2 linked regions of the Mytilus edulis genome follow. The protein of the gene in region 1 interacts with the protein of each later gene in a biochemical or structural test. Links are inferred from orthologs where the notes say so. Each region holds a gene or a part of one and is shown on either strand. Other genes may lie near its edges.

What was found.
Region 2: of the proteins of serine/threonine-protein kinase VRK1-like (region 1) and barrier-to-autointegration factor-like, one has a biochemical effect on the other in vitro, tested with the Caenorhabditis elegans proteins (2 studies listed by BioGRID). The link is inferred for Mytilus edulis from reciprocal best matches to the Caenorhabditis elegans genes vrk-1 and baf-1.

The regions. Positions count from the first base shown.
Region 1 is NC_092346.1:41,394,515-41,411,014, reverse strand, and holds the start of serine/threonine-protein kinase VRK1-like, read left to right. Parts: upstream 1-8,563; 5' UTR 8,564-8,787; intron 8,788-10,046; 5' UTR 10,047-10,049; coding exon 10,050-10,077; intron 10,078-10,917; coding exon 10,918-11,058; intron 11,059-13,794; coding exon 13,795-13,841; intron 13,842-14,460; coding exon 14,461-14,530; intron 14,531-14,699; exon of another isoform or gene 14,700-14,715; coding exon of another isoform or gene 14,716-14,782; intron 14,783-15,154; coding exon 15,155-15,351; intron 15,352-16,010; coding exon 16,011-16,115; intron 16,116-16,397; coding exon 16,398-16,500. Other genes in the region: protein phosphatase 1 regulatory subunit 37-like, read right to left, coding at 640-781, 2,077-2,202, 2,607-2,752, 3,278-3,428, 4,804-4,923, 6,058-6,158, 6,457-6,502, 7,013-7,110 and 1 more. UniProt on the Caenorhabditis elegans protein: Serine/threonine kinase that phosphorylates baf-1, thus regulating the association of baf-1 with chromatin and nuclear membrane proteins during nuclear envelope formation. May act through the egl-17 signaling pathway.
Region 2 is NC_092346.1:5,257,154-5,273,668, forward strand, and holds barrier-to-autointegration factor-like, read left to right. Parts: upstream 1-8,300; 5' UTR 8,301-8,417; intron 8,418-10,162; 5' UTR 10,163-10,166; coding exon 10,167-10,292; intron 10,293-11,031; coding exon 11,032-11,178; 3' UTR 11,179-12,148; intron 12,149-12,742; 3' UTR 12,743-13,818; downstream 13,819-16,515. UniProt on the Caenorhabditis elegans protein: DNA-binding protein which plays an essential role in nuclear envelope formation. Required for normal chromosome segregation during mitosis. Associates with the nuclear lamina via its interaction with LEM domain containing proteins emr-1 and lem-2.

The sequences.
Region 1 (16,500 bases):
AAGCTACAATACCAAGAATGATTGTTCTCAGCCAAGAAGAGCGAAAACTTGATGTTAAACGCCAATGTTATTGACATTGCATAGGAAAATCATGTATAAGTTGTTTTTCATTCGTTGATGTGTTTGAGCTTTTGATTTTACAATTTGATTAGGACCTTTCTGTTTTAAATTTTTCTCGGAGTTCAGTATTTTGTGATTTTATCTTCTACACGTATAAGTTTATATGTATAACATGAAATAATACTTTTATCATTTCAACATGCAGAGGTTCCATTTGAGTACTTCACATCAATAGTATTAACAATTTACAAATAATTGGGTTAGGTTTTATGCATTTCTTGCGAATGTGAAATAATTGAAAATTTCTCCTGCAGGAAATTTACCACATTTACAGATATCTGTTTGGTTTATATTGGCAGTAAAGTTGATAAGTGTTTCCTAGGTCAAGTTATACAATTTTCAGCTAAAAAAAATGATAAAAAAATTTAAAAGCACCTCCTACAGGCTACACATAGCTATCAACGAAATAGCACAATCAAGAATTTCAATATATAAAATTTAACCTTTGAGGATAATGAAAGTGAACACACAAATAACTCAGAAAAAGTACTAAAATATCATCATTTCTTTCATTCAAACCTTCACAAGTGACTTTAGTTCCCTGTAGACCAAGACGTAATAAAGATTTGTTCTGTAGAAGTCCCTCCTTCATTTGATGAATTCCTTCGTTTGTTATATTATTGTGTCCTAAGTTTAAAGTTTCTAGACATTGTGTAGAGGTCTGAAATAACAAGTCAATAAAAGTATTTAAAAAAGTTCATTCATAACATTCTATGATTTTTTTAAGAAAAAGGTTACAGTGATAAAGTGATGACTGTTTTAGCCACTCAAGTTAAATAATATATAATTCTTATATGATTTGCATATCTGTAAATACTTGAATTGGATTAGTCAATTAGAATTTTTCTCTAAGTTTACACTTCGATAAACCATGTTTCCGAAACTACTTTTGTAATCTATTCATGCGCGATACACAAGCTTGCAGTGATCCCGGGATTTTCAGCAAATTGAGATTAAAAACAATTGCATAACAGTTGTGACTATTCTAGTGCATATATAACAAAAAAAGAAATAAATTTATTGCACTAAAGCTTCGAAAATGTACAAAAATTAAATTTAATAAAATTCCACGAAATTTCATGAATGATTTGGCGAATTTACGTCATGGCAAAACACGACGTCATACGAATGGAAATTTTCAAGGTAAAGATTATTTCGTTACGTGTACGCTTTAAATTCGGAAAAAATTTAATTAAAATGAAGTTTTTGAGGTAGGTGCTGTTTCATTTAAGATTCCGTTGTATTTATCGGACATTTATGGTTTTTAGAAAGTCAAGATGGCGGCGTACTCCTTAGTTACGACTTGCCATTGTGCTTTTAATGGTGAATATATATAGTAGCCATCAACAAAAAAATGTTTGGCTGAAGAATTATAAGGATTAAACACATTTTTTCTAGAGGTTATTGATGTGTAAACCGGGGCTCTTACTCACAAACTCAACATAAAAGTCCTTCTTCGGACTTTTATTCAGTTTGTGAGTTAATCGCCCCGGTTTACACATCAATAACCTCTAGAAAAAATGTGTTTAATCCTATAATGTTGGATGGGAGTTCAAATAACTTTTCTAGATATCTTTACGTAAATATTTTCACATAGGTATGAAGTTTTTGATAAAAGTAAAGTAAATATTTTTTATGAAAAATAATTTATATATTTTTTCTTCTGTTTTATTCATCATTTTGAAAATACTCTTTAAATCATAGTTATTAGTTTTAATATATAGTTCTTCAAATTATCTTTGGATTTTTATATTTGTACATATTTTGTGCAATGTGTCTCATAATCCAAATAATATAACTGGATATTCATTGTTCTATACATTTTAATGTATTGTATAATATGTATGTCAATCAATATGTGACACAATAACAAAATAGATTATATTTTTTTTAATATTGAAGAGACAAGCTTATAAAATTTGTTCCATTTCAATTAGCATGATTAAGTCTACTTACAAGAGCTTTAGCTATAGATGCCATGCCTTGATAGGTAAGCTGATTATTCCACAGAACCAGTGTATTTAAACCTTGGTCTAAATTCTGTTCATATAAACCATCAGATACATGTGTAATGCCTATGTCCTGAAATGAAAAAAAATATACAATGATTAATTGGTCAGTTTTGTAAATGTTATTTCCATTCTAGAAAAAGCAATGCATATTTAAATCATGATACATTTTCTTAGATCTCTATAAGAGTCACAGCACAGTATTATCAATTTCTAAGGACTCTATAAGTATATGAGTTCCAAATACTGTAATTTCAGAAATTATTGCAATTTTTTTTTTTATTGCAAATAATGCGACAGGGTAATAATCGCAATAAAAACTTGCATTTTGAATATATTTTTTTTATGAATTGAACAGAATTTCTCTCAATATCGCAAAAAATTAAATCAAATTCTAGTCTAAAATGACAAAATCCCAATAACAAATGCATGCAATAATTTTTTTTTGTTCTTTATACTTTTTCCCATGAAACTAACCTGTAAAGGATTATTTCTAAGATCCAGTAACTCTAGTACATGATTATACTTTAGTAGACTCCCTATCTGTATTCCATCTGTAGGCATTAACTTGTTGTCAGCTAGAAACAGTTCTTTAAGAATGTCGTTCATCTTTATAGCTGCAACTGAAAAAATAACAACAAAAGAGATAATAGAGATACATGATACATTGAGCTATTATAGAAATCCATGTTGACCAGCTTGCAAACTTTGACAGCTTTATGCAATAGAAATTTCCATAGCTCTCCGACTTCTTTTAAACTGAGTTTTACTGTGCATATTGCTGTGTGTTTGCTTTTTCTACATTAGCTAGAAAGGGAAGGGTTGAGATCTTCCAAACATGTTAAACTCAGCCGCATTAATGCACCTGTCCCAAGTAAGGAGCCTCTGGCATTTGTAAGTCTTGCATGATTTTCATTTTAGTTCATTTATATATTACAGAGTTTAGTATATATGATGTTCATTTTCACTGAAATAGTACACATTTTTGTTTCAGGGCCAGCAGAAGCACTTCCAGGTTCTTGATTTTCTCTTTATGTTGAAGACCCGTTGGTGGTCGTTGACTGTTTTCTGCTCTTTGGTCGAGTTGTTGTCTCTTTGAAACATTCCCATTTCCATTTTCAATTTTACAGCTCATTGATTAAACTTACCAAGTATGACCAGAGATCGGCCAGACAAATAAGTATTTTCTAAATGGAGTATTTTCAGGAAACAACCCATCCTGAGGGCTCTCCCCATAATAGGTAACGATCTTTCATTAATATCACAGCTTCTGGCATCTAGGAATGTTAAAGCAGGAGTCTACAATAAAAAGTTTAATTGAATTAACACATATATTGAAATTTTCTTCATTATTGAAACAATAATATAGATTATAAGTTATTGTATCACTTACCAGACTAAAAACAACCACTCCTCATGTTTCCTTTAAGCTACATTTTTTCAATGTTCTTGACAAGGTGTGATAAGATTAATTTTTCGGTTCAAGCAGTTGGTATTATAGTTAAAACGTATATGACAATATATCGAAGGTACAGTTTCAATTTTATATGAAGTATTTGATATTGGCCATAGACCACTTTCTTGTACAAATTTTGGTCTATTTCAGTAACTTCGAAATTAATCATGGACATAATGATTTCAAAATGAATAAAGATCATCTTCTCTATACAATATACACATATAAGCAGGGGTCGAAATTAGCGCTGGTCCGATGGTCCAGGACCAGTAGAATGGGCGTCGGACCCATAGATTTTATCAGTTGGTTGTCCGGCGGACCAGTAGAAATTTGTCAATAAAAATCACTGATTGCATCGCAATCTCCATTTCTTTACAAAACAATTTACCTGTGAAAACAATTACACAGTACTGGGGGGGTATTACAATTGATCAAGTTAATTACTATCTTGGGTGAGTGTCCTTCATAACAATATAAAATGTGGAAATTTTTGGAAGGAGTTAAACCACTGGACAAAAAAGTTCAAATAAGTGAAAATCAAAAGGGAGATCGAAATTCTTTCCCTTCCTGATCATTCTGCTGATGCAGAAAGGGGGTTTTCTTAGATGAAACTTGTAAAGAAAGATTGGCGATTAAAATTGCATCCAACTGATTTATCAGATCTTATCAGATTCATTATTCCTGGCTATTGAAATGTGGAATATTTCTGGACAGCGCTCTAGACGACCCAGTTAGACACCCTATGGTGGCCGTGAGGATTAGGATGACGTGGAAGACAATGTTGATACTTTTTCTGTCCTTGATCCTGATTTTGATAAAGAAAATCATTGAGATTATCAAAGCCTTTTTCAAAATCAGAATCAAGACTATCCCTTTGTTCCTGTCTAACTTATGTAGAGGAAAGCATCAAAATAAAATTAAAAATCTATCATTTATATTAGTGTTTGTCAAATTTATGTCATTTTTGCAGGACCAGTAGATTTGGAGCCGGACCAGTAGAGTTTTCAGTCAGCTGGTCCAGCTTGCCAGTACACAAAAAAGCTTAAATTCGACCCCTGCATATAAGGTTGCAATATTATATGAAATTCAAGAATTTGATTTACCATCTAAAAACCAGCATAAAGAATGTCTGACAAGGTTCACCAACTATATATATATATCCTCTTTTCATCTCAGCATGGGGTACTTAATAAAATGATAAAACAAACCAATAAATACCTTTCTGACCATTTTGGCACAGGACTGCCAGCCTCTTATTGATATACCTTTGTTGAAGGAAACATTCACTTTACAAGCACTCTCATAATATTCTATCATCTCGAATATTGCTACGGAAGTCTGCAAAATAAAATTCATGAATGAAGTGATTGACAGTTTATAACTGTGTATTTAGTTTAAAACAAGAATGTGTCCTCAGTACACGAATGCCCCACTCGCACTATCATTTTCTATGTTCAGTGGACCGTGAAATTGGGGTAAAATCTCTAATTTGGCATTAAAATTAGAAAGATCATATCATAGGGAACATGTGTACCAAGTTTGAAGTCGATTGGACTTCAACTTCATCAAAAACTACCTCGACCAAAAACTTTAACCTGAAGCGGGACAGACGGACGAACGAACGAACGAACGGACGCACAGACCAGAAAACATAATGCCCCTCTACTATCGTAGGTGGGGCATAAAAATCCATACACATTTGGAATTTTAATACCAGTATTCCAGTAACAATACATAAAAGTAGTAATTTAAATAGATAGGATTGGGGGGAAAATCTGAGAGGATTTTTATTTGCAACTTTGTAAAAGAGAGGAATTGGTTAAAACCTATGAATTGCCATCAGTACCTAAATGAACACACGTTTCTTATATAGATTAGACTGTTTTCTTGTTTGAATGGTTTTACACTAGTCATTTTTGGGGCCCTTCATATCTTGCTTTTTGGTGAGAGCCAAGGCTTCCTGTTGAAGACCATACTTTGACCTATAATGGTTTACTTTTACAAATTTTACAAATTGTGACTTGGATGTGAGTTGTCTCAATGGCACCCATGCTACATCTTCTTATATCTATTAAAAATACTGGAGGGGAGAACTATTTAAAAGATTTGCTACTAAATTTTACTGTAAGAAAATAAAGAAATCAAGTATAGAACAGTATTTCTTCGTATTTTTATATTATTCAAGATACAAAATGTGTGATAAATAAAATTGAGAATGGAAATGGGGAATGTGTCAAAGAGACAACAACCCTACCATAGAACAGACAACAGCAGAAGGTCACCAACAGGTCTTCAATGCAGTGAGCAAATCTTCACTTGCACCTGTGTGATTGATTGGGTAGATAAACTTTATGAAGTCAGACTTATCAGTTTTGGTGTTTTGATGACTAAATTTCATTTTTATCTACATGTAGGTTTATAATCAATTTTAGGAATTGTCATTTAATTAGAGCTACTTTCAAACTTAAATACCTCCTCATCTAAATGTGTTCCCTCCAAATCAACACATTGAAATTGAACAAACTTAAATATTTCTTCCAAAGTCTCCACATTCTTCATGTCAAGTTTTTCACCTGTGAACAGAAATAAATATAATTGATGTCACTATTTTATGAAGTATCAGATAAATTTAAGGCCAGTCCTTTATAATTACATGTATGTAATCTCTGTAATATAACTTAATTGATTCTTTCATTTTTTTAAAGGTCATTCTGAAACAGAGGTATCCCTGTATATCTGCCTGAAATGAAACGTGCAGATTTTACAAAATTTTAACCTTGTCAAAAATATTTAGATCAAACTTATGTGAGAAATGTGTTGTAGGAAGAACAGGCACATACACTTTAGGTAGCTGTTTAATTTATAACTTACCTTTCAAACTCAGGATTGCATAGCGTTCACCAACATTTTCTATTCCCTGAATAAATAATGACAGAATATAAGATACACAGACTATCTCAGTTGATGAATATTAAATTGAGTTAGTTCTTTTTAAAAAAAAAAGAGTTAACTGTAAATTCAGAAATTATTACATGCATTTATTATTGAGATATTGTAATTTTAGACTAAAAAGGCAACAGTAGTGTACCGCTGTTTAAACTCATAAATCCATGGACAAAAAACAAAATCGGGGTAACAAACTAAAACTGACGGAAACGCATAAATATAAGAGGAGAGCAATGATGTGATTTTAAATTTTGAGATATTCAGAAATATCCTGTTTCATTCATATAAAAATTTAAAATCTGAGTTTTATTTATTGTGATTATAATCCTTTTCGCAATAATAACAACATCTCAATATTTTGGAATTAACAGTACTATTCATAGATATTCCCACAATGGCTAAAATAGTTTTCATTATACATTTCTTATAAAGTTTCCAGAATTCAAAATTATTGCAGAATCAAATAATTCCTTATGTATACCTGTAACTGATTAAGTATAGTGGGAATAGGCCTGGTGTTGTGCTTTTTACAGCTTTCTTTGTATGAATTAATTAGATCTGCTGAAGTCCAACTTGGTGCTGAAAAAAAAAAATATCGACCATTTATAAAGAAATAATTCTTTATCAGATGACATATATATAATTACATAAGTACTTTACACCATATCAATTTTTTCAATTATGTTCAATAACCTGAGTGTCAATTTTGCTTACAATATTCTAAGTAGGTTTCAGGTAAACATATCTATTTGATCCTCAACATACATGTACTTATTTCTACTTTAGATTTCAAACCTGCAAGTATCAGGTAGCTACGGCTCCAAAAGTGAAATAAATCCTGCATATGTTGTTCTGGTCCCAAGTCAATCCAGTCCCATAGAAAAAATAAGGATTCTAATATGACGACCTGTTATAGTCAACCAGTATAATCACATCTTTAGCGCAAACGCAGTAATATACAAAAATGGCTGTTCTGCAGTATGACCAACTTATTTATACTGCCAGATATTCTCAATTTTCAACATAAAAATTGCCAGTTTACTAAGGGCAAGATTCAGATACAATATATTTACCTCTGTTCTACAGCAAAATAAACAAATCAGTCCATTTCAATTTATTTTTCATGGTAAAATTTCATAAAACAAAAATTCTGCGAAATGATGTTATTGTCTTGGCATGGCAAAGAAACAAGGTGATGTCACAAATATTTTTCCATAAACAAAAAAATCAAATGTTAATACATGTACCAGGCAAAATGCAGAAATCGATGGGTCTCTGTGGAAACTGTTAAAATATGGAAAAATAAAGGTTGGCAGGTAGGTGAAACTTACATAAATGAAAAGATAAATGAAAATTGAACAGATTGATGCCCGATTTATATAATTCCAAGGCCGTCAGTCGGCACCAGAAGCGACGAAGCAGCGTAACTATTTTGGGTAAGCAAATATCCAATTTTTGATATGGGACGAGCTCTGACGTCCCACGGCCCCAGCTTGTCTGGCAAAACAGCCGTTGGACGTCAGAGTAATCTCGGACTAATCAACACAGACTATTTTGACGCCCGTATTTTGGTATGGAGTTATCGTGTAATTATCTATCTAGATTAGACATGTGATAAATGCTAAAATGTGCTTTTTACTCCAAACAATACACACCATTTTTCCAAGGATCTGGAGGTTCAAGATAACCGGACACAGGTTTATCACCAAAAAATTTCACATTTCTTTTCAATGGGCTTTTCTTATCTTGATTTTCTGAAGTGTTAATTTCTTTTGTATTCGATAAATCAGCTTCCGATTCATCTCGAGATGCATTGTTTACTTCCTGCATATCACATTTAGAATCACCAACAGGTGACGGTTCTGTTTCTTCCACTTTTTCTGTATTGTCATTGTTGTTTTCTGAGTTAGCAGTTGTTGTAATTTCTATTTCTGACATTTTTCCAGTGTTATGTCATGTTATCGACTCTTTTTGTTGGATAGAATGACGAAATAAATAATTCAATTTTATGAAAACATTCTCCATTTTCATTACACGCAATCAATCAACTGACTTTTGTAAGACTTTTATTGATTGGACAGCTGTATTTCCATTAGCCAATCAAAAAGTCTGATTTATTTTTGTCTTTGGCGGAATATTTGATATTTCTACTTTCTGTTCGAAGAGAGGACAAGAGAACCAGAAATGCTGGAAATTTAGTGCTTTACAGAAAACTAAGAACATAATATTTTGTTTCTCAACAATCAAAAACATCAGGTGATTTATTAGCCTTTTTAAGAAAGAGCTGATATATGTTTATACAATTTGGAAATCAAATTTAAAAACTGAAGAAATGAAAATATTTAGCCCTTCATTTGTGCACTGCCACTAAATTATTTCTTGACATACATGTTTATATCATCATCTACCAGAGACTTCAAGTCATCATACATCCTTCAACTGTTTGTGAACTCATATCGTCTGTTAACTGAGTATAAATAGGACGGTAACTAGGCCTCAAAAGCTCGGTAAAAAGCTCATTAGAGCTTATGTTTGTATACCTTGCCGACTCTAAATAAAGCTTATTCAATCATATTTATATTTACTCAGGAACAGTTGTAGACGAGACAGGGTTTGTGGGCAGCCGATTGAGGCACCCAGACAATGCTGAAAATTGTAAAAATATGATATCCTAGATATATCTTATAATGTATCTCTGATTTTTGTATCATATCTATAGACAACTTTCGAGTTTGATGCATTTCCGTCAAAAACTCTGGTTTTAGTGAACACCGTCAAAAACTCTGGTTTTAGTGAACATCATTCGTGCGTTTAGGGGCGTGGTCACTACCGTTCCAATGTTGAGCAAGTGGCCGGGAAACTATAATGTTATATTACACGAATCATTTGGCAAATTAAATTCTAATAATTGACAATCAACACTGCTGTCATTAATAGGAAATTGTAATGAAGTACCTACAAAACAAAAATTATTTCTAGTTCATCCTGCACAATGACGATCACTAAGACGCTTGATGAATGTTAATAGTGCAGGGATACAGGCGACCCCCTCTATCTGGTAAATGACGTCATAAAGGCGCGCATAATTGACGAATTTTTTCCAGTGACGGATGAACTTGAACATTTTTGTCGAAAGTGGTCTATTAAATTTGTTTCATATTTACCATATTAAGAACTGAACATGCATAGGCTATCAGAGCCTGTTGACAGATACTTGATTTGATTTTGGAAATTTGCCATTCACTCTTCATCCATTAATTTGCATCACTTGAACCATTGAGGTGATTATACAACAATCACTTTTCTTTTCTTCTGTTTATTTTCTCCATTCTTGCTGAGAACATATAGCATGTATAGCTAACATACATGGTTTATTATTTAATGTCAGATCAATCACAAGGTTGTAAGATCTTTTAGAATTTCTGGTTCACTGGTTGTATGAAAAACTTAACATTCAGATGATTTTATAAGTATGAATTTAAATGTAATTCAATACATTTTTTTTTATCTTTCAGATAATGCCGCCCAAGGCAAAGGCAGGCTCTGGTAAGTGTTATTGGGCAGTAAAATAAAATCACATTGATAAATAAAAAAAAAACATTACCCATATATTTATATGTTGTAAAAGTGAGAAATAAAGTGCAAGTTCCAGCACTGCTCAGGGAGGAAGTAAAGAATTAAATCCACCCTAAACATCATAGGGTTGATTTTCTAGGCACTTAATATATATGTCATTTATGTATAATTGAATATTTTGATATACTACAAACTTTTATATATGATTAAGATTTTGATGTAAGATATAAAATTATAAGGAATTGCTGTACAACTACAAAATTATGCATTAACCCTAATGAAGCTTTTTGGTGCCACCCCCTTTACTCCATTATGACGCCTGTATAGTTCCTCGATCAGTTGTAACGTCTTGCGACTCACACTTGCTTACAAAAAATGTGTATCAGACTTAATAAAATTTGTATCTAATATAAAAAGGATATTCATTAGAATATCTGACTTAATTTCATTGATGAAATATTTGTTTTCAATACTTTATACCTGATGATTTTTTTTGATTGAAAAAATCCTATGCAAATTCAGTGTGTAAAAAAAAAATCTATGGAGGAAAGGGTCATAACTCTAAATTGAAAACATTTATGTTCTATTTTGATCATGTTGATACTGTTTTAAACTAATAGACAACATTTCAAGTGGACAAGATAAGAATACAGTCATTTACATATATAATCATCATGAAATGTCCTGGTTTATAACAGTTACTTGTCTGCATTAACAAAACATGTCAACTTTGTATATTCAAAGCATGATTTTATGTCAAGCTCCACATGTAAATAAGTTTGTCTTGTGTAGCAAAGATTTTATTTATAGCTCAAAAGAAAACCAGAGCTCCCAAAGCACATAAATTACCAGACCCATTTCCAAAAGGGGAATTACTGAAGGATTATGGGAAAAAACATTGGCGCCTAGGAGAAGTGATTGGCCAGGGAGGATTTGGACTTATATATCTAGGTAAAATTTATATTATTGTTTGCTCAATTTTATTTGTTGGGATTCTGTAATGAATCATCTTGATCAAAATAAATGAAGGTATCAAAATTCCTAATTGCATTTTTGTCAATTATAACAGAAAGCAATGAAATAAGAGTGACATAGACTTTGTGTACATGTATAATTCATAAATATGTATTGGCATTATTCAGTGTTCTAGCCAGAATTTGAAAAGGGCAGGGTGCTAGACAGAAAAAGGTCATTTTTAGGCGTGAATGTCATTGAAAAAAAGGGCAATTTTACACGTAAATTTATATATCATTGAAAAGAGCGTAATTGTGCCTCATAATTAATTAGCACATAATTTTTATTATGCATTATTGAAACATCAAGTTTCAGTTAAAATGGAGTTGTGTAATTTAATTATTTTGGTTCATTTCTTATAGTTCATAAATCTATAGTCATCATGCTGAAACCCTCTTCGAAACTATTGCCTAACACTGTATATTAAGCTGTCTTGTAGTTTTTTTTATATCTTTATTCAATTCTTCAACATATATATACAACAGATATATTACATATTACACAAAAATATCACAAGGCAATGTTCTTAGTATAATCACATATATATTATAATAATCAGCACAATAATTAGAAATTAAATGTTATGACACCTTCGGTTTCTTGTACCAGAATATTATTCTTTAAAAAGTGTTTCTCAAAAACATTTCTCATACATCTTGCATCACACAAATATTCATACAGGTAAGTTATATAATGTTTTACAGTGTATTTAAATAGTCTAATAAGATCAACATTACTGTTTAAATTTTTAAGTAAATTCCTTCTTCTGAAGATACATTATCTTGCTACAGATAACATGAAATTGACAAAACTTACATTTACGCTAAGCTGTCTTGTAGTTTTTTTTTTATCTTTATTAAAGCTGTCTTGTAGTTGCTGTCACCACAGCAGTAAGACCAATCATATTTTTCAACATTGGGAATTCTTCATTGCACTTGATAAATCAGTTAATGGAAGTATAGATGCAAAATATAATTTTCAAAATATTTATTTTTGAAGTGTATTCAAGTGAAAATAATTTAAATTAATATTCTAATGCTCATTTGCATTCAATTTTTTTTAGATTTAATCTTTTTACGAAATGAAACATAAATTTAAGTAATATATTTTAAACAGGTGTTAAATAAGGGGAAGTAATCAAATTGTTTTTCAAACTTTTTTGAAATACACACAAATTATTTATCATGTTTATGACCTAAATCTAAGGTAATTGGTGTTAATTAACAATGTGTTTGACACCAAAGCAGTCAGGTAAAGCCATACACTTATTGGGTCACTTAATTTGACAGCTTGCACAGGTAGCTGAACTTCATGTTCATGGAACAATTACGATTTTACCAGTATTTTAAAGGCAGAAAAATGCCGATATTTCTGTGATAAAATTAGCAGGGCACCCAAGGAACAACAGAAAAAAGGCATGGGCGTCAATAAAAAAGAGCTAGCGCTGCGCCCTGTTCAAACATTGTAGCTAGAACACTGTTATTGTTTACTTGAAATAGAAAAAGGAAATGGGAAATGTGTCAAAGAGACAACAACCCATCAAAGAGCAGAAAACAGCTGAAAGCCACCAATGGGTCTTCAATACAGCGAGAAAATTAGTTACTTTCAATAATTTAAAAGGAGTCATTTTAGTGGTTCTTATTAATTGTAAGAAATTAATTACAAAATAGTTACAATAGTAATTATGATGGATTTCATTAAAATAAGACATTGCAGCACAGTTTATGTACAGCATTTGTACAGGAAGAAATGTTGTCAATCTAATTAAAAACCAATCTCTCATCGCTTCTGTTTTCTGATATGTCGCGTAGGAGATCTAACGAAACCCGCTTTGAGGTCACATGTGAGTGAACTAGAAATTATGAATTTATAATGATATGCAAATGAGTTGACGACCTATCAATAAGCCAATCAAAAAAGTTTATGAATTTTTTGGACTGAAGATTTCTTTGTAAATAAAATGAGTTACATCCCTTTACCTTACGTTAAACTTTCAAGATCGTCGAAGACTCATTTTCATTAGTCGAAAAAGACACACCTACAAGGTCACTCACATGTGACCTCAAAGTGGGTTTCGTTAGATCTCCCAAGCGACATATCAGAAAAAGGGAGCAATGAGAGATTGGTTTTTAATTAGATTGAAATGTGTTGGATCCCATATAGAAAAGTAGGAACTTACAAAAGAGAAGATATTTTCAGATTAACAAGACAGGAGACAAATGCTGCATGAAACTATTAAATTAATTAAATGACTATTGATGCAATTTATTATTTTTATGAACAGTACATACAGGTATATACATTTAGGAGGCTCAAAAATCGCTCAAAAAATTATATACATGTTTTTGACAATTTGACGATTGATATGATTTTAAAATATAAATTCAAATATATATATAATCAGTTTTATGGAATCACTCACCCTTAAAAAAAAATCCTGTTATTTATCAAATGTTGCAATAAAAAGGACTTCAACTGTTTAAAAGAAAAGTGTTATCAAAGCTATCTGATCTGGTAATAGTTTAAAGCTAAAACCTAGATTCTGTATCTTTACAAACAGAGATTTGTGTGTTAACTTTTTTTTTAAATGCGTTGAGTGTCTGTTCATTGCTATACATGATGTTTATTCTCATAATGGAATAAATTTTCAAATGTTTTTTTTTATTCTTTTAGCTACCCTTGTAGATGGTACAAAAGATGAAACTTATGTTGTTAAAATTGTAAGTTCTGATTTACAAATGATTTAGAAGAAAAACATTATATTTTAAATACAGAGAGGGCTAGCTACAGTGTTTTATGATTTGTAACTTTTATATTTATTTTTTTGAAACTAACAAGGTAATTGTGCATACATATGTGTACTATATAATTTCTGCTTTCTAACTTAATAACAACTCTTTGGCATTTTCAATATGAATAATTGTTTTATGAGAAATATTTCTGCCTTATGTTAGTGTAAGCTATGTTCAAACGGAATAACCCTGAAAACTTCTAATTTGTATCACAATTCACTTGTTTACATTGAGTCGCAGCTTCTGTGATGGATTCCATGAAGATTGCCTAGTTTTGGAGTGCTGTTGTTTGATCAGAAGTTACAGATAAAATGAACATTTGCTTAAACATGTGTACAGCATATTGAGAATGCTTTTCTTTTTCATTTGATATCCTTTTGACAGTACATTTTGTACCTTGAACAGTTTTGTACATTAAAAAACTGTTACCTGCAGACAAAGTATTTGGATGAATTGCAATAAAATCTCAAATAACTGTTAAATAGGAAAAATTCTTAATAGCCATCATAGATTTAGCCATGTATGTCAACATAATTTGGTATTTCAGGAACCCATAGCTAATGGACCATTGTTCTGTGAACTCCATGTGTATCAGAGAGTAGCTAAACCAGAAATGGGTGAGTATGGACCATTGTTCTGTGAACTCCATGTGTATCAGAGAGTAGCTAAACCAGAAATGGGTGAGTATGGACCATTGTTCTGTGAACTCCATGTGTATCAGAGAGTAGCTAAACCAGAAATGGGTGAGTATGGACCATTGTTCTGTGAACTCCATGTGTATCAGAGAGTAGCTAAACCAGAAATGGGTGAGGATGGACCATTGTTCTGTGAACTCCATGTGTATCAGAGAGTAGCTAAACCAGAAATGGGTGAGTACATGTAAAGAACAAAATATAAAATGGCCAATCAACCTTATAATCAAAAATATAGATATACTGCAGAAGGGGTTGTGAACAGACAATTTTAGATATTTAAACACAGCAAAAAAGAAAAGAAATTTTATAACCAAATGTGAAAGAAAACAGCAATTCTGCAGAAATTGGATTTATTTCCTAGCTGTTTGGTAATTTTAACCATGACCAAAGCTACCATTTACTTATTATTGTTCAGTATTTTAATTTATAATATCTAAATAAACTGAATCATCATCAAATACTATAATACTTTAACCTTTATAGAATGGTGCAAAGATTTTAATTATTTAGCTAATAGATTAACAAGTAAATTTGATAATATTTCAGTTGATGAATGGTGCAAAGCAAAAAAGATGAAATACCTAGGAGTACCAAAGTATATCAGCAGTGGAACGCATACACGAGGGAAAGAGACATTTAGATTTATGGTGATGGAAAGATTTGGTACAGATGTACAAAAAGTATTTGAAAAGAGTGGTAAAACATTTTCCAGGCACACTGTGTGTGCATTGGCTCTAAGATTGGTAACTATTTTTTATTTAATAATCGTATTTATCGCTATTTTGTGCATTTTTCTTTTGATCTTTTTTTGTGATAATTTTCATATCATGTTTCTCGCTTGAGATGGAAAAATTATCGCTAGAAACTAAGGAGGCCATGTAGCGTTGCTAACGAAATTGACATGGAATTGACAACGTCGTCATAGGTAAAATAGCGATAAACAGATTATCATTGGTCATCTCAACTCTATTGCTTTTCTCACTTTCGCTGTACCAGCTCAAGCGAGAAAATCAATCTTGTTGAGATGATCAACGATAATCTATAATTATCATCAAAGAATGAATATTTAATAAGTTTTTAGATAGAAGACAAAACATATAATTTGGACACCATTTTACGAACTTATCTAGAAATGGTAAAGACTTTTATGTATGTGCAATTGAAACCAGTGTAATATATATGATAGGAAATTTGAACACAATCTATAAATGTATTATTTATAAATATGACATGGATGAAAGCATGTCAGAATTGAGTAATTTGAAGAGACACATTTGGAATATTAATCTGTGTTCTAGGGGCACATTCTTGTTTTTTGCTTGTTTGGTTTTGTCCATGTGTTATTGCTCTAACATTTTACATGCAGAAATATGATTGATTTTTTGTGTCTTTCTTATTTCAGCTAGATACATTAGAATACTTACATAATAAAGGTTATGCCCATGCTGACATTAAAGCTTCTAATTTACTGACTGGCTTCAGTCATGGAAAAGAACAACCAAACCAGGTAAATATAGAATATACTAAATTCTGTCAATTATTGTATAGTTCAATTTACTATTTTGAGAATTAAAATATGGTTTTGAAAAATTTAATTTAACAAATGCAAAAAATCAAAAGTTTGCTGATAATTTGAATAAAACGTATCCTATTTTGAAAAGTTGCTGTCAGCAAAGATATATTTTACTTTAGGGTTTTTCAATCAGAATAAATGTAGCAGGATAGGAAGAAATTATATTTTAGACAAATGATTTGTTGGTGTTTCAATTTTCAAACATATTTTTACCAGGTATATCTAGTTGATTTTGGATTAGCTTACAAATTTTACTGTGATGGTGTTCATAAAGAATATAAAGAGGATCCTAAACGATGCCATGATGGCACAGTAGAAT
Region 2 (16,515 bases), about 36 Mb from region 1:
CCAAAATTGTCAATTGACCCCTTAAGGGGTTATTGTCCTTTAATGACAATTTTTCACAATTTGTTCATCATATTTGCTAACTTTAAAAAAATCTTCTCCTCTAAAACTACTAAACCAAATTCAACCAAACTGCAACTGAATGATCGATCAGTAGGGTGTATAAAATAAAGTTTGTGCTTTATTTTTTATTTCGTCAAAAAACATGGCCGTCATGGCTAAAAATAGAACACAGGGTAAAATGCAGTTTTTGGCTTATATCAGTTATTTATCTCAAAAACTCCAGCATTTAGAGCAAATAAGACAAGAAGTTAAAGTATTTATTAGGTCAAGGTCTACCTGTCCTGAAATTTTCAGCCGAATTGGGTAACTGTTTTTTCAGGTATAATGCCCCTGAATTGATGATTTTAAAGAAATTTTGCAGTTTTTGGTTATTATCTTGAATATTATTAAAGATACAGATAAACTGTTAATAGCAAAAATGTTAAGCAAAGTAAGATCTACAAATAAGTCAATTTGACCAAAATTGTCAATTGACCCCTTCAGGAGTTATTGCCCTTTAAAGACTTTTTTCACAATTTGTTCATCATGTTGACTTACTTTAAAAAATCTTCTCCTTAATTGAAACTGCTGTATCAATTTCAGCCAAACTTAGGCTAAATGAGTTTCAGAGTATCTAGTATAAATTTTATATTTCATTTCCTTGTATGTCAGATACATAGCTCCTATGGCTAAAATAGAACATAGGAGAAAATGATTTTTTTTTTTTGCTTTTGAAGAAAATAGGACGATTCAAAGAACATTTAAATAAATTGAAAAGCAAAAATAATCATTAATGAGAGATTTAACCAAAAAAATTAAGGTGAGCGATTCAGGCTCTTGAGAGCCTCTTGTTTATGTTATTTCTTCATAGACAGAAAAAATATTACAGTCATTCCTTAATTAAATATTCTTAATTTTAACTGAATGCCTATGTACATACAATGAGTGATCTTGGATGACTTCATAATTCATATTTTTATTAAAAGTGTGGTTAGTAATTCTATTTTCACATAAGAAATTAATAAAAGAAATTTATGTCATATTTTTTAGGACAGTATCAAAAAAGAAATAGAAGAATTAAGATAAACGTTCCTAATTTCTAGATTCTAGAAATCACAAAAATATCTACTTTGAACAATTTTTTTAATAAGTTATCTCCCTTATAAAAATCTCTATTTGGTTCTTTAATTCTGATGCATTAAAATATACCGGTTTTAAAAAGGAAATGTGAAGTTCTAATCAAAAGACTTTCCTGTAAAATTATTTTTCATTTTCCTTATAATATTCAATGTTAAGATATGATATTGAGTTTTAAAATAAGCAGCATGATTATAAATGGCAACCCGATATATTATCTTTAGAAGGTCCAGTTTAACTGTGTAGTTCTGCCTTAGATAACTAGTTCTGTCTTAGCTGACTAGTTCTGCCTCAGCTGACTAGTTCTGCCTTAGTTGACTAGTTCTGTCTTGCAAGATCTTTTTATAGGTGCTCAATGAATGATGAATGTTTATATTAGGTGCTGAATTATTAGTTGTTATTTTTAACCTTTACATACTGTCTCCAGACTGAAATCCTGCACACGTTTTTCTTCTTCACGCTGATGGAGGTTAGTTCAAAGTGAATCTCTTAGAATTATTTTGGCAATAATAAAGAGACATTCTTATATAAAAAAAATATTTATATGTGAACTTTTCCCATTGTGATCTCAAATGCAACATATTCATTATTTGTCTCAATAATAGTTTGTATTTTTTTAAGCAACATTAAGTTTAGAGATCTGTTTGTTGAGTCATGTAGGATATACCAGTTACTTTATTCCTTAGTTGATCATTTAGTTGATCAAATTGTGTATATAGAGCTTATGTTATTTGGTTTGTAAGTATAATCAAGACTAACCTATAATCTATGTTATAGAATTGATTGTCTTTCTTGTTATAGGAGCGCTTTACATGTAATTTGTACTTGTATATTGTAAATATTGTATTTGTTATAGTTAAACGCAAATCAATTCGCTTTTTAAATGTTTTATGGGATGACCTCCCTTTGTTTTTGTTATATAACTTTTTGTTAATACATTTGTAGTAGATAACCATTGTAAATTTTAGATACATCTTGGTGTTGTTCTGTTCCAATAACTTTTGATGTCTTTCTTACAAAACTTCATGTAAAATTATTTATATAGATTTTATTGGCCCTTTTCAATTCATATATCATATCATTTAATTAATTTTGTTAAAAATTCCTCTAAACATTCCTAAAAAAAACAAAATCAGGAGAGTGCAATAAATATTTACATATCAAGTAAAGATTATTATAATGGCTTTTAGAACTTCTTTAATCTTGTCTTATTTGCATTCTTTACCTGGAAGACAAGAAAAAAAGATCTGATGCTATTAAACTACGCAATTTTTCAGTGGACAAATTTTCATACCAATATTGAGGAACATTACTGTTCAAATCACTTGCATGTTTTTAGCTCACCTGGCCTAAAAGGCCATGTGAGCTTTTCTCATCACTTGGCGTCCGTCGTCGTCGTCGTCTGTCGTCGTTAACAATTTTTCAAACATCTTCTCCTCTGAAACTACTGAATGGATTTGAATGAAACTTAACATGATTGTTCCTTAGTATATCCTGCACAAAATGTGCGCTTCGATTTTTGATCCGTCAAAAAAGATGGCCGCCGTTACTTAAAATAGAACATAGGGGTCAAATGCAGTTTTTGGCTTATATCTCAAAAACGAAAGCATTTAGAGCAAATCTGACATGGGATAAAAATGTTCATTAGGTCAAGATCTATCAGCCCTGAAATTTTCAGATGAATCAAACAAACCATTGTTGGGTTGCTGCCACTTAATTGATAATTTTAAGGAAATTTTGCAGTTTTTGGTCATTATCTTGAATATTATTATAGATAAAGATAAACTGTAAACAGCAAAAAAGATCAGCAAAGTAAGATCTACAAATAAGTTAATATGACCAAAATTGTCAATTGACCCCTTAAGGGGTTATTGTCCTTTAATGACAATTTTTCACAATTTGTTCATCATATTTGCTAACTTTAAAAAATCTTCTCCTCTGAAACTACTGAATGGATTTGGTTAAAACTTAGCATGGTTGTTCCTTAGATTATCCTGCACAAAGTGTGTGCTTTGATTTTTGATCCGTCAAAAAACATGGCCGCCGTTACTTAAAATAGAACATAGGGGTCAAATGCAGTTTTTGGCTTATATCTCAAAAACGAAAGCATTAAGAGCAAATCTGACATGGAGTAAAAATGTTCATTAGGTCAATATTTATCAGCCTTGAAATTTTCAGATGAAACAAACATCCAATTGTTGGGTTGCTGCCACTTAATTGGTAATTTTAAGGAAATTTTGCAGTTTTTGGTCATTATCTTGAATATTATTATAGATAAAGATAAACTGTAAACAGCAAAGTAAGATCTACAAATAAGTTAATATGACCAAAATTGTCAATTGACCCCTTAAGGGGTTATTGTCCTTTAATGACAATTTTTCACAATTTGTTCATCATATTTGCCAACTTTAAAAAATCTTCTCCTCTGAAACTACTGAATGGATTTGGTTAAAACTTAGCATGGTTGTTCCTTAGATTATCCTGCACAAAGTGTGTGCTTTAATTTTTGATCCGTCAAAAAACATGGCCGCCGTTACTTAAAATAGAACATAGGGGTCAAATGCAGTTTTTGGCTTATATCTCAAAAACGAAAGCATTAAGAGCAAATCTGACAGGCTAAAAATGTTCATTAGGTCAATATCTATCAGCCCTGAAATTTTCAGATGAATCAAACATCCAATTGTTGGGTTGCTGCCACTTAATTGGTAATTTTAAGGAAATTTTGCAGTTTTTGGTCATTATCTTGAATATTATTATAGATAAAGATAAACTGTAAACAGCAAATATGATCAGCAAAGTAAGATCTACAAATAAGTCAATTTGACCAAAATTGTCAATTGACCTCTTTAGGAGTTATTGCCCTTTAAAGACTTTTTTCACAATTTGTTCATCATGTTGACTTACTTTAAAAAATCTTCTCTTATGAAACTGCTGTATCAATTTCAGCCAAACTTAGGCTAAATGAGTTTCAGAGTTTCAGAGTATCTAGTATAAATTTTATATTTCATTTCCTTGTATGTCAAGAAACATAGCTCCTATGGCTAAAATAGAACATAGGAGAAAATGATTTTTTTTTGCTTTTGAAGAAAATAGGACGATTCAAAGAACATTTAAATAAATTGAAAAGCCAAATAATCATTGATGAGAGATTAAACCAAAAAAATTCAGGTGAGCGATTCAGGCTCTTGAGAGCCTCTTGTTTGTCAATCAACTTTATAAATTTTCTATTGGCTTCAAAGTAACATAGATTAATTTCATTCTGTTTCTAAAGAATCTGGAAAAAAAGCATTGCTTGAAGGATGTATGGTGACCTATATTTGCTTTTATCCATGTCCTTTGCTGTCTGGTGAACAGATGTCGTACTCAGTTTTTGCAATCATACATTTTGATTACTTCCCTTTGTATTTGTGATCATACATTTTGATTACTTCCCTTTGTATTTATGAAACTGCTTACTGAAGGTTTTGTTGTAAATTTTGATAATACTATCCAGAGTGCATTTAATTTGAATTTTGAAATCAAGTGTACTTCCATTTACATTTTTTTTTGTAATCTTTATATATGTCTATGCTTCTTCCTGTTTTGTTTGGTCCCACAGAGTCAGTAAAACTTGTTAGGATAAGCACTTAGGCTAGGTCAGGAAACTTGTCTCATGGGCACTCAAACCACATTTTCTCATAAACACTTACATTTTATTATATCTCTGTAATTATAAAGAAGTTGATTTGTAAATTCAAAAATATATTATCACCTCACAGATTGAGATAGAGGAAGACTTTGTTATTATTAGTTCTGTAGAATAACTCTTATGGTCCTATATAAATATGCATTGTCTCATATGCAATGAATGAAGCAGAATTTATCACATATCTTTTTTTTTCTTTAAAAAACTTTTTTTTTCTTGTAACAATAGTTCAAGATAAACGTATATTAACTTAGTTCAAAACTTCTTTTTTTTTTATGCTTGACAGATATATTGCTTTAAAGCTGTTAACAAAGTATACATCTTTATGGATGAATGTTTCCATCTGGCATATAATATTGTATAAACTTTGTCTTCAGCGTTCAGTGACTGCTAAAGAAAACTGTAAAGTTTTTACACACAATATTTTTCAGTTATTATGGATTAATTGCTTGTCTGTTTGGCAGGGTTTGTCTGGCCTTTACTGCCTGTTATAAGTTCATTAATAATGTAAAATTTTAATGATACCTTTTATGTGATAAAAAAATTAGGTACTGTTTATATTAAAATGTGGACCATACGAGCTATTGCTACAATGATTTAGATATAGTATTTATAGAAAGGTGTCTAAATGCTGTGATACACATACATAATGTTAACATATGACGAAAGTCTCTAGAACTAATAAATTTTATCTTCCATACAGTCATATTTTTATTTATTATCACTTTGCCAAAACAAACCTCAATTTTGGGTTAAGATTGCATGAAATGAAATCAGTCCCTACGGTACTGATTCTACTGAATTGATACCTAAATCTTTCATGGTTTAAAACTACTTCTGAGATGAACAAAATATAGTGAATTGATCAATAACATTCTTAACATCCTATCCAGAAATTTATGAATGAAATATTTGCTAAGATATTCAAGTTACTAAGTGAAGAAAATTACAACTTTTGCAATAAGCATTAACCTAATATCTGTTCTAAAAATATCAATGATATCATTGTTAAAGTAATCTTTGGTTTGGAGTTATCTTTCTTTGTCCGTAATTGTAGTTGAATCAACTACATCTAATGCTTTACACAATGAAATGTTTAATTTAACCTCCCACTGAACTAAAGCAATCTTTACCTTTCATTGCTTACAAGCACTTTGATTAATCCACACACTGTTTGTCCATTTGTTCTAAATGTTTGACCTATTATGGTATTTTCTTAATATCACCAATAGACATAGAATATATATACCTGGATATCATGTACCAGTGAACTTGTGATGGTGGGATCATGGCAGAGGTGGATTAAGAGGGGGGGGGGGGGGTGTCCTGCCCCCTTTTTTCTGTGGAAAAAATGGTTGATTATATAGGGAATCATTGCAGCATGACCGGAGCAAGCCCCCTCTCAGGCAGTCATTCAGCCCCCAATTGTGAAAAGTTATGGATCTGCCACTGCATAGCAAAGTGTCCTATAGACACATATTCTTGTTTGTTGTGTATTTTACTTTTAGAACACATGGTCTTGATAAGTTAAAACCAGTATATAAGAAAAATTGGTTCAAACCCATCACATTTTGTACATGCAAAAATGTCAGGCTATCTCAACCATTTCAGAGAAGTTAGGTGTTGTTGATTAAGATGGTCTATTGCACAGTCCAATATTTTGCAAATTCCTGTTAACCTTTTAAATATTTTTTCTGGTTCTTGGGTACATATTAAACTCACCCCAAAAAAAAAATAATAATGATATAGTCTTTTGTGCATTTTTAATGAAAAAAGATGTGATAAAAAATAGATGTGGTATGATTGCCAGAGAAACAGCTATCCATCATAGTCGAAATACAGTAGATGTTAGCATCTGAAGGTCACTGTGTTGCCTTCAATAAAGAGCAAAAACAATACCACATAGCAAACAAAAAGTAATGTCATGAGAATACTGAACTCTGAGGAAAACAAATGGCCCCTCATGACAAAATGTTAAAGCGTTCAAAATTGTAAACCAACAACCAGATTTGCATACAAACAATCAAAATATATCTGATATACACAACTTTTGAGGAAAATGTTTTGTACTAAGAATTTAAGAGAATTTATTGATAATTTGTGGTTTTGTAGGTACAAGAATACTTTTCCATATTAATTCCTGATGTGAGAAAAAAAAAAGCAACAAAGCTAATTTTTGCTGTAATTACTGCATTTGGACTTTGATAAATTGTTAAAAATCACAGTCTGACTTTTATTCTAAAGGTTTTCAGATATTGGGATGATTTTTGATATGTGAGCTAACCATGATGAGTTACAGATTAAGTTTAAGTTTCGTTCCGCTCCTCTAATTTTGTCAAAATTAAGGGTTTACAACTTTGAAAATCATAGTTATACAGACTTTTTTTCTATACACCTCCAGATTTTGATCTGATTTTTTTATATATGAGAGACTACCATCATGTTTGTGTCCACATGTGTTATTGAAATTGCAGATTTTTCAACTTTTTGAGACAGGGCCATTCGTGTCGCTTTGACACATCTAGTTTTATATGATCTATGCATTAAAATGGGACATATATTTGCCCCCCCCCCCTTTCCACAAACAAACACGCATACAGGCACTAAGTCTTGTCTCAGAAAAAATAAATCCTATATACCTAATTTTATTTTCTAAGACAAGTGCCTACCCCCCCCCACCCCCCCTTTTTTTTTCTCTGGGACCCCCCTTAAAAGAATGGCTTGAATTGTAGCAAAATTTTCACAATATCAAACAGGAACGAGGAAATAATATTATAATACAAAATTAAAATTTTTTTTTTTTCCCTGGTTGATTTTCCATGGACACAAACTATTTTTTTTCACTTTCCATCTTAAAAATTATATCAGGAATAATTAGAATCTATATTTTTATAATCTCAATGTTTAGCATATGTTTTTCCTTATTTAGCTTCAGTGGAAACAGGTTATTAATTTCACTTAATCCCTTTTTAAAAAAATTATTTAAGGGAGCAGAACCATTTAACATTTTAATGTTGGTTTTTTCCTTAGAAATATTCTATCCCCAAGATGAGACTACTATTGTTATATATAGTAGTCTCAGTCCCAATTTGATGAAAAAAAATATTGTGATCAAGCAGATGCTCTAAATTCATATTTTCTCTGTGGTGTACGGTGACAGTGTTAGATTTTGATTGTTAGTGTCTAAAAGCTAAAAAAAATATGTTAATATTAGTGGCGCAAAAAAAAATTCCGGACTCAGACAAAACACTTGACCCCCTACCGAAAGGTCAATTATTGCAACCTTAAAACAAGAAAGTACAAATATTCAAATTACCTAGAACATGTTAAATGCTTTAAAAAAATATTTATTTTACGGTTCTCCTATGTGAGGAGGACAGATCTAGATCAAAAGAAAAAGTCAGAATCTTTTTAATGTTTAAGTATAGCTGAAAAATTGAAACTGATTCAAGCTGCTTTTATACATTGACTACTTGTGAAAGCGCCAATTTCCTGAAAACGAAACTCGACGAAACAGTACATTATTTATCTTTAAATCGGAAAAATCCCAACACAAGTGAGTACGTTCATAATCTTATATATGAAGGAAGCATCAATCAGGCGATTAAAGTAATGACAACTGCAAATAAAATGACAATAAATGCATTCCGCCACAAGGTTTATAGTCCACTTTCGTTTTCCCTAATTTGTTGGGCAAACATCAGAGCTTCATTGAGCTTCACCCATCAAATTCCACATTACCAGTAACTTATTAGTTGTGTCAGGTATAAGTTGTTTGATTTAAAGTTCTGGATTTGTTAATTATAAAATCCATGTGACGTGTTTTATCCATATGTTAATGATTAATGTGAATAGAAAATACAATATTAATCTAGTTATTGATTTGATTGCAATTTGTTCATCATTTATTTGCTATTTGGTGATTTTTAGTCTTTGGTTTGACCCGGCTGGGTTTCAAACCAACGGTATCAGGTCTGTTCGCGCCCAATACACTTTCGCACCCTACACGTTGGCACCTCGCACGTTCGCACCCAAGGTCCGTTCGCACTCTACACGTTCGCGCCCAATTTTAATTCAAATTCCAGTTGAATAATTGGAAAATCATGATTGGGTTTTTTAAATTGCTTTGTTGCAAATACTGAATGTATTTATAGCTTGGTACGATGAAAACATTGAAGATTTTAAATGAAAACACAAAAGATAATTATTTTTATCAGCTTGGTCCCTTTGATCTGAAACAATGAAACAATAAAATGTAGGAACCAAAATATAGCAATTCTTTAATATAACCAACGATCTCCCACACTTATGGTGAACATGATACCACTATTCTATGGTTTATTCTATCAAAAGTAGACAGTAAAGTACATATATTGTTGTTATTGTGACACTATCATTATAAATAGAAAGTGAAAGTACATATATATTGTTGTTATGGTGACACTATCATTATAAATAGAAAGTGAAAGTTAATATATATGTATTAAAAGTAACTTGTGAGAGTCATAATTGTCTTATTCTTTAGCTGTCATTAATGTGTATCCATGCTAGTCTTCACGCGGAGTGGCAGCCCAGGCAGCTCAGGCTGGTAAAATTGCTCTCGGGCCTGTAAAAATCAGACCTACAGGCCAACAGAATCTAACTAAAAATTTTCTAAAATTGTGCTGGGAGCCTGTAGATTTAGCAGTTCAGTGTGAAGACTGCCATGCATGGTGTCTGTTCCATATATCTTATCTATATGAAATGATGTCCATTAGGATTTAGCCCCACAATGATTCTGTATTCATTGGGCATGGTACATTTGTAGGATGCATGAGTATTTTGACAATTTTACTGCAATAGATGATTTCAGTCAGGTTCCCACTAAGGTGAGTCTATGAGTCCTGGTCTCACGAAAAATATGTCTGGTAAATTTTTGGTTTTTAGTTCAAACTTTGCTTCTGTGGTCAACATGGTCAACCTTTAATATTTCATATTGAACTGTAAAGTTACACATGTATGAAATTTACCTTGTTTTATAATGATTGCCTGTCCATCAATCACTGGACAGATTATAAACTAGTAAAAAGAGAAAGGTTTATATGCAATAGAAATTATTTTCAATTCATCAAATGAGATATATATTTCAAGAATATTTTGATTCCAGATTCATTTATTTTATACATGTACCAACTATTTGAAGAAACATTTTCAAATGGAAAGTCTGTTGAAATGTTAGGTCCTGTCCCTGAGACCACTTGATCATTCACAGAATCAACCAGTATGTTTAACTAGTTATATGAAAATTTCTTATCTTTGTAGTAAAATGTCTTCAACTTCTCAAAAACACAGAAATTTTGTAATGGAGCCAATGGGTGACAAACCTGTAACAGAGCTCGCAGGGATTGGACCAGTTTATGGTGGTAGACTGACAGAAGCAGGTTTTGATTGTGTAAGTTTTATCACTTTTGATAAATAACACAAAAATATACAAGAAGATGCTGACAAAATTACAGTTGGGCAGGTGTTGAAACAAAGAGTTTTTAAACACCTGTTTACGTGACGTTTTATGGTATACCGTTGTCTGTCTGTCCAACCGTTGTCAACTACCATTTTTGTTTTTTACAAGAACTTTAAAACAAGAACGATAACTATCTTTACTATACTGTAAACCAACTTATTTTCACAAATGCTTTATTTTGCATTTAGCCCTTTCTGGTTTAATTTCACGATTTTCAAATTTACTTGATGTAGTTAGGTACATTTTTCTCAGGAAAGATCCAAGAGTTAACTTTTAGCAACAAATTATATTCGCGTTTGTCTTATGCTTGTGAAAGTTGCCTAAATATACATATTGATACATAGATCTGTCTGTTAAAAGATTGAAGTGATGATTTTCATAGTAATGATGTAATGCAAAATTTAAAAACCTAGTCTAAAGTTTTCATTGGTTTATAGTGAATCATGACAAAATTGCAGGTTGACCCGATACACTTGTACTTGATTATATAAATGAGTAAAATAAGATAAAAAATTCTAAAACCGACCGTGCGAGGGCTGTATAGCCAGTCAAGGTCGTTAAAAACTTCCATATATAAAAATTTCTACCTACCGATAATTTTTTTAGAAATTAGGAAACCCTCCCTAAACAAACGTTTTTTCTTAATGCTTTGTGTATATCTTTTTTTCAGGCCTATGTTGTCTTAGGACAGTTTTTAGTGCTGAAAAAAGATGAAGATATGTTTAAAGATTGGTTGAAAGATTTGACTGGAGCCACTTCAAAACAACAGAATGACTGCTTTCAATGCTTAAAAGAGTGGTGTGATCAATTCTTGTGAATGTTGTATCAGTACGATAAAAATGTAAAACTATTATCATCTTATAAATGTGGAACCTTTAATCATCTTCCAAGTGTTTTATTGGTTAGCATTTAATGTATCTTTGTTAATCAACCAAGGACATTTATTGTGTATTATCAAATACGAATATTCTGAATTAAAAATTTTAAATCAAAAATACACATTTTTGACTATGTTGATAATAATTCAATAACTGAGGAACAAATGAGTTTATAATATAAAAAATAATATTTTTCATGATTTTAGGAAAAAAACACTAAAACACTATATATTTACCTGAAAAACATCAGGCCTGCAAGAAAGACTATAGGTCAAGTCAATTGTATTGTTATGATTTTGTTTTGTAATCATCAAAAGTTTTTTTCAAATATGAATGCAAAAAGGGCTGGTTACATTTAGCTAAACTTTGTAAATCATTGAAATAACACATACAGTCAAATTTTGAGCTTTTTTATAAAATGATGCAGCTTATTGCATCCTATTATTTCTAAAACAGTTGTCTTGAATATGTAATGTAGCTGTCAGATCTATTTGTTTATGCACATAGCTTTCAAAATATATTTACTAATTGTTCATTTTCATCAAATAATTTATTAATTTTTATACAACAATGAAGCCACATTTACAACAAAATAAGCATATCTTATTTATACAACACAGTTATGAAGTTATTGTTGTAACTATTGCATTACTATATATAATTATTATTCATGGAATAACTATTTTGTGGGTTAAGGTGAACCAATGATTTGAATGTTCAATGAAATACACCATTAAATAGACTTGCATGCAGGATTTGACAAAGCCACAAAATTAAATAATGAAAAATACAATTCTTCTACAATCTGCAGTATTTTGTTTTAGAAGGGATGGCAAGTTTTGATGGTGGGAGGAAGCATCCCAAAGATGTTAACTGTGTTGCCATTTATTTTATTCTTATTGTTTTAAGGTAGATCATAAGTAAATATTTTTTGAGACAGAATTTTCTTATACTTAGCCAGAATGAAGATTTTAATATGCTCTTTTCAAATATATAATAAAAAGGAGGGGTCACCGTGCTATTTTTCAAGCTATGAGTCGTTAAAAATTGCCTAAATTTGGTTAGATTGTTCATGGGAAAACACATTTGTGTGCATAAAAAAAATCTATGAGATAGAATTTTGAAAAAAATTGTGAAAAGATAGGTTTTGTAATATGTTTTAAGAAAATAAAAAGAAAAAATGGTGTCACCGAACTTGTTTTCTTGCTACAAGTAAAAAGAAAAAAATTCCCTATCTGTCCAGTATAAATTTTTTACTAAAAGAGTTATCTTCCCTTAAATGGCTCGTATGAAAAAAATGATTCTAAAAACAAGAAAAATTATATTTGTTTAAATATTTTGGATTATACAATAAATTGCCAAGTTTTCTTTATATTATTAAACAGTCTAACCATTAAATTGCAAATCTGTCTTCAAATTTGCAGATTTAGGCAAATAACTAGACCGATTTTTTACTGTGATTGTTCAATCCAAGATGGCGGTATACCATGAATCTACCTTAAGGCCAAATAAATGAAAACCAGCTTCTCAGTGCCTCACTCATCAACTCAAAACCTGCTTCATGGCTGGTTTTATTTTAGAAGAAACAGTTCAGTGGTGAATTAACCTGGCTGGTTGAATTTTGGTTGCTATTTGAACATTTATTTATATAGCCATGTGTTTATGTATTCACACCCTTATCATATATTTTATTGAAATGTATACAGTACACAAGAATTTCACCAGATAAACATGTTAGATTACATTCATGAATGTGCAAGTTTGGTTGGTTATTTTTCTTTCTTTGACATTGTAACTTTTTATGTGAATTGAATATTAGTTTGTCCAAGTTTTATTGTTTAAAACTTGAAATCAAATTGATAGTTACATGGTAATGCACCAATTTAGAATTTTTAATACTAAACATTTTATCTGCTAAAGAGGAAGCTCCACAAATTCTATTCTATTTGTTTGAGTGTTTCAATCACTAGCAGAGTCAAAACCTTAACGCTGTCAAAACCAAATGGTATTTCAATATTAAAGCGTTTATATGATATTCATTAACTTTGATTTACTAATTAAATGTAGTTTGTGATGATGTCGTACATAAAAAATATCCAAAGTATTTTATTTGTTTAGTTTGCAATATTTTTGTTGTTAACATAGGTGTAACGCTTTCCTTTAGTAGTTGTTACCTTTTTTTTTTAATATTTGGTGCAAAATATGACTTTTAATTGATCAAAAAATATATATATGGAACTTTGTACTGGCCTCACTATGTAACCAGACAAAAGTTCTCTTGTTTAAGTGCATGTAATGTCATTTGTAGTTATTTTAAAGCCAATTATCCCAAATTAATCATGTAAATTTAAAAGCAGATGCATCCAACTTTAAATCAAGGGGAATGTCATAGTAAACTGTAATTAATTAAATTAGTTCAGAAAGAGGACTGCAAATAATAATAAAATTATTAGTTTGAATAACTTGATCTGAGTTCTGCCACATTGTTGACATTGTAATTACCAGTACAAAATGGTGATGAGATTATATGTACCGGTAGTTGTAATTTATTAGATAAATAAAAGCTTTGTTTTATCTACTTTATGTAATTAAATTCCTCCGCCATGTTTCCTTTTTCAGATAATTGGAGTTTGAGTGTTCCTTTTGTACCTTTTGCCTCTTTTTGTGTCCCATTTCTGGGCATTATGTTTTCCGGTATGTCCCTCCGTTAATTCATCTGTCCCGCTTCAGGTTAAAGCTTTTGATAAAGGTAGTTTTTGATGAAGTCGGATCAACTTGAAACTTAGTAAACATGTTCCCTATATGATCTTTCTAATTTTAATGCCAAATTTAGAGTTTTTACCCCATTTTCAAGGTCCACTCAAAATAGAAAATGATAGTGTGGATGGGGTATCCGTGTACTAGGCACACATTCTTGTTATAACTGCTTATATTTTACTATTAAATCACCGTCCAAGATTAGGGAGGACTATTGTTTTGTTTATTAATCAGGCCGTTGGTTTTCTTGTTTGATTGGGTTTTACATTTGTCATTTTGGGGCTTTCTATGCTGTATGTATTTTGACTATTGTTTAGTCCTATTGTCTACATCATATGGTCTCTTGTGGAGGGTAGTCTCATTTGCAATCATACCACATCTTCTACTTTATATGTATGTGTTACAATCATTCCATACATCAAACATAATTAACCCATTGCTTATAGTATCGGAGGAAAGGTTCTTATCTCAACTAAATATTGATAATGAGGCCAAGGTCAGTTGAGCCCTGCCGGACACCATACAATCATTCCATATACCAAATATATGAGCTGTTGCTTGAATACCTGAGAAATTGCCTAAAACCTCAAAAACTAAACATTGATCAATGAACAATGAGGTCAAGGTCACATGACACTGCAAGACAGAAATATACCCCTTACAATCATTCTATTTACCTTTTGCTCTAGGCCCTACCATAAGAGTGCCCATGCTGAAATGTCTCGCCTTCTTTACTAACCATTAATACTATGTTAATAGTCCTAAATATAAAGCTTTACAACAACTACTGTGGATTCACTTAGTTTCGTGGATTTCAATTTTCGTGGGTATTTAATTTCGTGGTTTTGCCAATATCTCCACACAAAGCCTATAGAAAAGTGTAATTCATTAAACATTTTAATTCGTGTTTCACCTGTATCCACGAAAATTACAAATATTGGTATCCGACGAATAATAATGAATCCACAGTATCACATAACTTAACATGATCCAAGAAGTTAGGTCAAGGTCATATAAACCAAACAAGAAATACATGTACACCTTACAATCATTCAATACACTAAATATATTGCTTGTAGCACTTAACCATGAAAGCTTAACGTTGACCAATGAACCATGAAAATGAGATCATGGTCAGATTAACAATCCCAGGCAAACATGTACACCTAACGGGTAGGATTGTGCCTGATGTTCATATGATGAAATCATAATCTTTCAGTCAGTTTAATTGAAGTCTGGAGCTGGCATGTCAGTTAACTGCTAGTAGTCTGTTGTTATTTATGTATTATTGTCATTTTGTTTATTTTCTTTGGTTACATCTTCTGACATCAGACTCGGATTTCTCTTGAACTGAATTTTAATGTGCGTATTGTTATGCGTTTACTTTACTACATTGGTTAGAGGTATAGGGGGAGGGTTGAGATCTCACAAACATGTTTAACCCCGCCGCATTTTTGCGCCTGTCCCAAGTCAGGAGCCTCTGGCCTTTGTTAGTCTTGTATTATTTTAATTTTAGTTTCTTGTGTACAATTTGGAAATTAGTATGGCGTTCATTATCACTGGACTAGTATATATTTGTTTAGGGGCCAGCTGAGGGACGCCTCCGGGTGCGGGAATTTCTCGCTACATTGAAGACCTGTTGGTGACCCTCTGCTGTTGTTTTTTATTTGGTCGGGTTGTTGTCTCTTTGACACATTCCCCATTTCCATTCTCAATTTTACACCTTATAATCATTGAATCAATCTGCATTAAATATAGTTTACATACTGCTTATAGTATTGCAGAAACAAACTTAACCTTGACCAATGAACCATAAAAATGAGGTCATGGTCAGATTAACAATCCCAGGCAAACATGTACACCTTATAATCATTGAATCAATCTATGCATCAAATATAGTTGACAAACTGCTTATAGTATTGCAGAAACAAACTTAACCATGAAAACTTAACATTGACCAATAAACCACCAAAATGAAGTCAAGGTCAGATGATACCTGCCAGACAGACATAGACAGCTTAAATTCCTTCCATACAACAAAAATAGTTGACCTTTTGCATATAGTATTAGAAATAAAGACCAAAACCAAAAAAACGTAACTTTGACCACTGAACCATGAAAATGAAGTCAAGGTCAGATGACACCTGCCAGATGGAAATGTACACCTTACAATCCTTACATACAACAAATATACTAGACCTATTGCTTATAGCATCTAAGACTTGACCACCGAAACTAAACCTTGTTCACTGATCCATGAAATGAGGTCGAGGTCAATGGACATGTGACAGACAGAAACTTTATAATATAAGGTATCTACATGTATATACTACATTGAAGACCCATTTGTGGCCTTCGGCTGTTGTCTGCTCTATGGTAGGATTGTTGTAGCTTTGACACATTCCCCATTTCCATTCTCAATTTTACAAAGTATGAAGCATCCAGGTGTTCCACCTTCTAAAATATTAAGCTTGTAAGAAGTGAACTAACCCGTTGTTGCCGGATCACTATCCCTATGT